2 linked regions of the Rattus norvegicus genome follow. The protein of the gene in region 1 interacts with the protein of each later gene in a pairwise test. Links are inferred from orthologs where the notes say so. Each region holds a gene or a part of one and is shown on either strand. Other genes may lie near its edges.

What was found. The genes of interacting proteins can lie anywhere in the genome.
Region 2: the proteins of Ushbp1 (region 1) and Txlnb interact in binary tests that used the Homo sapiens proteins (3 or more experiments, as listed by UniProt). The two-hybrid records come from large-scale screens. The link is inferred for Rattus norvegicus from reciprocal best matches to the Homo sapiens genes USHBP1 and TXLNB.

Annotation. Positions count from the first base shown.
Region 1 is NC_086034.1:18,098,965-18,103,378, forward strand, and holds the start of Ushbp1 (harmonin-binding protein USHBP1), read right to left. Parts: upstream 2,904-4,414; 5' UTR 2,813-2,903; intron 2,568-2,812; 5' UTR 2,496-2,567; coding exon 2,442-2,495; intron 2,230-2,441; coding exon 2,108-2,229; intron 1,913-2,107; coding exon 1,477-1,912; intron 1-1,476.
Region 2 is NC_086019.1:14,227,692-14,231,342, reverse strand, and holds part of Txlnb (beta-taxilin), read right to left. Parts: coding exon 3,274-3,651; intron 1-3,273. UniProt on the Homo sapiens protein: Promotes motor nerve regeneration. May be involved in intracellular vesicle traffic.

The DNA.
Region 1 (4,414 bases):
GCCCCAACTCAAGCCGTCTCCCACCTCAGCCTCGCAAGCAGCTGGGATTTCAAGTGTGCACCACCACACTCAGGAGAACTCATTTTTGTTATTGTGAGAAGCCTCTGAAAGCTAAGCGCTGAGCCACGCCCCTAGCCCCTCATTGGAGTATTCTACGCTGTCACTCTACCCTGAGCCACGCCCACAGGCTGACGAGGATTCTTAGCAGAACCAGCTAGGGCTCTGTTCTGTTTTGAGACGATTGCCTATCTTTTCAAAGCTAGTACTAAATTATGATCTTCTCATCTCAGCCTTTGAAGTCCTTATCATTACAGGCTTGTCCTATCACATCTGGGTTTAACGTCACCCATAATCTGTAGGTTTTTTGGTCACCTCTACTAAACGCCCCGAGCCACTGCTGTCGCCCCTCCTCCACCTTCAGGATTATGGTCCACCGCCAGACTGTTCCTCTCACAGGCATCAGATGGCGCAAGTGAACACCTGCAGCAGGGTTCCCCTCAGAACCCACCACACACAAGAACACAGTTGTAAATCCTGCCCAGCCTTCAGCACCCTGCGTACTGTGACCTTCCCCCACGTGCCTTCACCTCTCCCACTCAGTTCCAGCTACAGTGATCTCAGGAGTTGTGCTGGTTCGTGTGAACTTGACTTCAGCTAGAGTCATTCTGGAAGAGGGACCACAATTGAGAAAATGCTCCCCCAATTGGACCTGTGGACATTTTCCTGACTGACGATTGATGGGGAGGGAGGGGCCAGCCCATTGTGTGTAGTGCCATCCCTGGGCAGGCTGAGATAAGAAAGCAGGTTGAGCAAGGCATGGAGAGCAAGCCAGTAAGCAGCACACCTCCATAACCTCTGCCTTCAAGTTCCTGCCTGAGCTTCCCTCAGTGACAGAGTGAGGCCTGAGAATTTTAAGATGAAATAAATCTCTTCCTCCCCAATTGCTTTTGATTGTGGTGTTTTATTACAGCAATAGAAACCTTAAAACAAATCTGGCATAGCTCACACCTTTAATCCCAGCACTAGGGAAGCAGAGGCAGGGGGATCTCTGTGATTTCGAGGCCATTCTGGTCTACAAAGTAAGTTCAGGACAGCCAGGGCTCTGTTACACAGAGAAACCTTGAATTGGAAAAAAACACCACCCCCAAGATAAGATTTGTGTCTGTCTGTCTGTCTGTCTGTCTGTCTGTCTGCGGTGCAACTGACACAGACAGGGTCTGTAACCCAGGCTAACCTTGGACTCAGTCTACAGCTGAGAAGAACGTTGGTCTTAGCCAGGGCTCGCCAGAGTAGAGATTGTCCCTCTTGAGCTTCCTGCGTGTTAAGATCGTGGGGTGCAGACTGCCGGTCTCCCTTGCTCCCCCTCTCACCGCGCTGTCTTTATTGGTCACTTCCTTGGCACATCTGCCACTGCTCCACCCACGTCAGTGTCTACTCTCAAAGCAGGATCTGCCTCTTTCCCAGTCACCAGCTCACCTGTCTCTGCAGAGTCTCATTCTCTGCCTGGGCGTCCTGCAGTGAAGCCTGAGTCCGCGCCAGTTCCTCCTCCCGGGTGCCCAGGGCCAGCCGGAGCCAGGCGTTCCTCTCTATGAAGTGCGCTGCCTCCTGCTGTCCAGGTCCAGAGGCTTCTTCCTCATTACCAAAAGACCCCGGAGCTCCCGGGTCTCTGTCTTCTGCCTCCACTGGCTTTGAAAAGCTTAGCGAGTGGCGGCGCCAGGCAGCTACAACTGCCTCCAGGGAGCTCAGCCTGCACTTCAAGGTCTCATACACATTGGGTGCTGTTATCTCAGCAGGGCCAGTATCCAGAGGGGCTTCTTGCAGGGCCTGGTGGGCTTCCACCTCAGGCTCGCGCCGTTCTTCCGGGCTCAAGGGTAGGACCCCATGGGATCCCACATCACAATCCTCCTTGATCCTGTGAGGATAATCAGGAACCCTAGCCACCTGAGACTCAGCAGAGGCGGAGGGCTGACCCCAGGGTCCCTAGGAAGGCTGAGCAGGGACTGAGCTTCATGGCTGGAGGGTAAAAAGGAAGAGGAGAGAAGCGGGCAGGGGAAGCTATGGCAGGTGAGCAGCTGGAGGCAGTTGAGTATGGGCCCCGGCATCCTACCGGTTCCCAGGGCCCTGCAGGCTAGGACCAAGATGTTCCTGAAGCAGCTCAGGTTTAGTCTCGAAGCTCCCATTGGTGGTATCTACCTCCTCTGAGCTCTCAGCTACTGGGTCCAGCTCCCCCTGTGAATGACACTCCCGTGCATGTGCGGGTGCGTACACACACACACACACACACACACACACACACACACACACACACACACGGGCTCTTGGTCATCACATCCAGCTCTCCCTGTGGAGGTCTCCCCTGTACCACAACAGGTTCTGAGCCAAGCAGACCTGGGTTCCCAGGATCCATGGGCTGGGTGTGGCAGGAAGAGGGGCACACTTACAGGCAGAGGATGCCTCCCTCGCCGGCTTCGGGGTCGTGTGGCCCGGGCACTCATTACTCTTGTCACTACAGCCTGCTCTCAGTTCTTGCCTTTTGTTACCTTGGTATCCTTGTTTTTTGTTTTTTCCTGTAGGAGTTTTGGTTCGTTTGAACTGATTGACACATTTAAATATTTAAATACCTCTCCAATAGTGCCCACTGTTTACTTGTCTCCTCCTCCCCGTCACCCATCTCTACCGGGCATTCCTTTTCCCTCCGCTGTCTGAATTCATTTCTCTTATCTGTGCCCCCTCTCTTCCCTATGGAGGCATTGAGTGGTATCCTAAGATTTCTCCTTCTTCCCACGACTCTCTTAGTACCAAACTCCCTCACCCTGGGGATTGGCCCTGCGGCCCTCTTCTCTTCTTCTCCAGGGCACCTTGGGAAAGGTCTGAACTCCTAAGAATATCTCAGGCCATTCTGGCCACTGGCTACTGAGGCTGCAATGGCCAAAGGTGGCCTGGGAGAGGCTGAGAAACAGGAAGCTCCCTACCCTGATCACATGGACAGTTATTGTTTTGTTTCCTTCTCCAGGATGCCAGCTTCCTCCAGAACAGGAAGAGGATGGAGGACCAGGACCTTTGTCCCACTCCAAGATATCAGTATCCCCTTATCCCAGCCCAAACATGTAGTGCCTCCATTTTTATTTTGGATTTTCTGTGTCCCCCTGTTCATCAGGGCTCGCTCTAATGTGAAGGTCTTTTTAAAATTTTATTTTGTGTCTCTAAAAACAAAACTAAGAGAGTTGGCTCCAGCACTTGCATAGCTTTTATTTTTCATTATTTATCTTTGTCTGTGATGGTACTGCTTGTCTCCGAGATCGAACTCAGGTCGTCAGGATTGGCGGCAAGAGCCTGCACCTGTTCAGTAGCCCACAAGGTTTCTCTTCAACGAGACTGAACTACTGCATCAGGCCGTTGGAGTCACCGGCGACAGTGAGCTTGTCCACAGTGGCTTCTTTACTTTTTCTTTCCATTTGGTTTTCACACAGCGTCTCATATAGTCCAGGCTGTCTAAACACCCGATCTTCGTCTTCGGGCCTCTGGAGTGTTGGGATGACAGGTGTGCACCACCAGCTCGCATCGCGGAACTAGTGAATGAATACCAGCCCAAGTCACATAAGTAACTGAGAGGGCCCTAGGCAAGTCCAAGCCAATTCCTACCCCGTCAATCATCAAACGGCCCCGCCCAGCTCAATCTCTTGTCCTATCACAGCAGAGGCCTTGAGAACCTTAGTGTGATTAAGCCCGAACTACAAATTCCTCTCAGTTTTGCTTCAGTTCACCACGGGTCACACCCACTCTCAATACTACCCCTCCCTCTTCAGCCCCATTCCAGCCCGTTACACTCCAAGCTACACCCCTAGAACGCCTCAGCCTATCAGCTTCCACGTCCTGAAGGCCACTGAACTACATTTCCCAGAAGGTAGCACTTCCGGTAAGGAAGATGGCGGCTTCCTAGAGACCTGATTGACTGGCCCCGGTACCCAGGCAGTGGAACCTGCGGCGGTGTGAACGCGCGCGAACTTTGTGTCGCCGCGGTCTAACTTCGACTCGGCTTGCTGCAGCTTCAGGTTCGTTCTGCTTGAGAACTTGGGGGGGGGGGAAGCTTGAAGTCCCGAGACGCTACCCCGAGAAAGGCGCATCCTTTGCAAGGTTGGTCGGCTATTTGGGTTTCCTGTGTTTCCCCGGGAACCTGACCGGCGCCGCTTCAGGGGAAAAGGAGCTTTGGGAAGCTTCTACAGTGGATAAACCATATAGCTCTAGAGTTAGAGTCCAGCCTGGGCCACATGAAGCTGTCACAAACAAAAAGGAAAACGAACAAGCTGTTACTTCACCTGAGGGTGGTTCCTGGACACAGTGTCTTATGGGAGCATTCTGCAGCCTTCAGAACTCCTGTGCTGTAAGGGGCTCATGCCCAACTTCTGGCTTCCTT
Region 2 (3,651 bases), on another chromosome or scaffold:
GTTCTAAAGAAGATGAGAAGTAAATAGGTGCCTGAAGACATTATGGAGTCCATAGTGTCCTGGTGTATATATAGAAACTTACCTGTAGTCAATGATGGTCAATAACTTAACCCACAACAAGCCTCTTTCTTGGGATATTTAGTATAATTACTCAGAGAAATGGCAGACCTCTGCAGTTAGGGCTGCCTATGAAAAGCTTTCTTTCATGAGGAGACAGTTATAGGCATCTACAGGCAGAGCCTTATCTCATCTGGTAACCTCCTTCTGCCCGGGGAAGCCCACAGTCAGAACTTTATTACTCTAAGGTCAAAAGGAACAGTTTCCAAAGCCATTAGCACCCTTTTCTTCCACAATTTGCTTTCTGCTAAACTAGCATAGTGCCTTGGCCTGAGGTAATGTATACCAGTTCTGAATCTCTGTGCATTGTAGAGTTTTGGTAAGTTTTGAATCTGAGTTAAACACACGGTTAAGTTTGTAAACGAAATTGCAGTGCGATTTAATTAACAAGGAGCCAAGGAGTTTCCTAAAGCTGCTTATAGGTAACTAACGTGGTTTATGGGTAGGCTTGCCTGAAAATGCTGTTATGAGTGTAGCTGAGGCGATACTGTGTGTAGGAGAACACGTTGATGACACTGAGAGGGATGGCACAGAAAGGCCACTGGCCCACACACGCCTGAAGAGGGCCTCTGATGCACAAACAGAAATTCTAGCCAAACACACTGGGTTGGAGCTGGGTAATTTTTGGAGAGTAGCAGGAGAAAAAAAGTCTGATTGCTTTCTCATCCTGAAAAAACTGTCCTAATGATTTGGTAATTGTAAGTATTATACGGATTTATAAAAACAACTCACAGGAGAGAGTATAAAGCTCCAAATGGTTTCTCCTATTTTCTTTAATTTTCTCCTATTTCCTTCATACTCTGTCCCTCAGTATAACACATACACTGAGGTGCCTATATAAATGGCTTAGGATGATATAAACAGTGGTTTGGAAACATTCTGGATCTTTAACACGACAGAGCTAAGGGGCACATCTAGGACGATTTGATTGGAGAAGAGAAAAGAAAAATTTTCTCTGTAACACAGAGGGACATTATTATGCCTCCCGGTGTTCTAGAATGATTCAACCTTGTGTTGTTGGGATATGAAAATATATTAAATACTGTTGTGACCTTTATGTTGTGGGGGGTGGGGGTCTGTTGTATTAGTAGAAGGTATCAATGAACACTTCCTGAAACCTTTTCATAATGCATTTTATGTACATAGTAGTACCCTACTCAAGTGTAGTTTACTTGGGTTTACAGATAAGAAATCTGTTACTCGGGTATGAGCGTAGTTCTCATACATCGTCCTTGGTATTTCGTTCTATCACACCACACAAGTGAATGAGACGTGGTTACTACCCTCAAGAAATTACCCATCTATCACAGAAGCTGAAGAAAACGTAAGGGAGAAGAGAGAAACCAACCAAGTCTCATGTGGGAAGTCGTCTTTGAAGTGAGTTCTCTGCTGTTGGTCACCAGTGGGGACAGACTGGGAGGGCTGTCCTGTGTGTAGTAGTGTGTTTTCAGTCATAGGACGAGAGGGGTGCAAAATTAGCATTCTTTCCCTCCATCCACAGTTACTGTTGGTGCTATCAAACCCCATGTTCTTCAAAACCATTTCCTCCTCTGTGTGTTTCTGCTGAGTAATGGTTCCTGTGTTTGCTTTTCTCTCTGTACCAAGAGCCCCTTAACCTGTGTCATCTCTTCTTTTTGTTCTCACAACACAGTGCCTCGTAACCAGGCATTAACCAGGCACTAACCAGTCATGAAATTAATGGTAGATGAGCACAGTTCTTGGCAGACGTAACCATGGTTGTTGTTGTTATTATTATTATTGTTTGTTTTTTGTGACCTATCCTTAATAAAAAAATATTTTACAATAAGTGATCTAATTAACAATTATTTTATCAATAAATTTGTCCCTATTTATTATATTTTGCTTATTAACTAAGTTTGCTTTAAATATCCCATTGCTTCATTCTTTCAGCAAATTACTATTGAGTCTTTAATTTATCATCTCCTATCTTAAATATTATAGGCATCCGATGATGTCCAAAACACACACACACAGTGTTCTTGAGATTGAAAAATAATCCAATTGGGAATTAGCTTCATTAACTAAATACTCTCTCCCGAAATGTATGACTTGAAATGCTTGTTACTAAAGAATGACTCGTGGCATAATGCAAACCCCAAGGGGATTGCAACGTTAGGATGTGACTAAGAAAATGCCATTAGGCTATGAGTTAAATGGCAGCTAGAAGTTCTATGCTCAAAGGGCTGGAAGGGTGGCCGTGGGAAACGGGCAGACGCTTAGGGTACAGTGTGCTCAGGCCTTTGGAGAACGGAGCACGGAAGTTCAAAGAACTAAAAGAGAAGATGAGAATGACTTCGGTCGTGGTGGCGTGAGAATGACTTCGGTCATGGTGGCGTCAGGGATGGATTGGTAAAGAAAAGAGATACAGGGAATACAGTGGAGATGAGATCAAGGTTAAGCCGGTCAGGGTTAGACCGCAAGAACAAAAGATTATCTTAAGAATTTTGGGTTAGAATTCTAAGATCGATGGGTAGCCACGTGCGTGGAGTAGATTGGCATGCGTGGAAAATCTTCACTTCGGTAATACGAAAGGGGATGGGCTAGAGAAAAACACAGCAATGGAAAATGTAGGGAATCCCAAAAGGAGGATTTGAAATTAAACCAAATCCATTTATGTGGCTGATAGGTTATTTCTCTGCCAGCGGAAGGAGCCGATTCAAACCAGATGAGAGTATTTTAGAGGCGGGTTTATGGGGAATCTGCTCCCAGGCCAGTTTATAGGCTCCAAGGATAGAGGTCGGGGGGCGTGGTCATGCGGGAGAGGGGAAGGAAGAGAAAGAGAAATGGCCTGCTTGGGGGGGTGGGGAGGAGAGAGAGCAAGAGGGGGAGAGGGGGAGGAGGAGGGGGAGGGGAAGGGAGGGGGAGAAGGAGAGGGATACAGAGAGAGACAGAGCGAACAAAAACATGTCTGAATTATATAGGGAAGAAGAGACAGGGAAGAGTATGGAGTGAAGGGCAGCCCAGTCCTTGGGCTGGAAAGTTCAGGGGCATGGGGGCCAGGTCTACTTTGGTATGTAAAATATGCACCTTGATCCCTTGTCCCCTGGGGTCTGAAACCAAACACTGTCTTTTTCTGATGTTAAAGCCAATGAAATAATTTAAGAGAAAAGTCCTATATTAGAACATAATACTTACCTAATCCTTTCAGGATTTTCTTTTCCAGCTTTTGCTCTTTATTACTGACAGGCCCTTTGACTGTGGCAGGCTCTTCAGGAGCAGTGGGTTCTCTGTCTGTCTCTTCAGTGGTTTCCTCATAGTCGCCATCCTCATTGTCCGGTGCCTCTGTGTTTTGGGGCTGCTCCTTAGTTTCGGAGGTGCCCTCTTTTCCTGTGGGACTGGCAGCAGACCCGTACATGTTTATAATGTCTTCCAGTTGTCGGCTCAGCTCTTCAGAGATATCGTGGTCTCCCTTCTCAGGATGCGGGCTTGCCTCTTGCTCTGCTGCTTGGCCTGAGGTTGAGGACTGTTGAACATCTTGTTTTCCTGGGACGTTTTGATTGAGTGGAGAGCTAT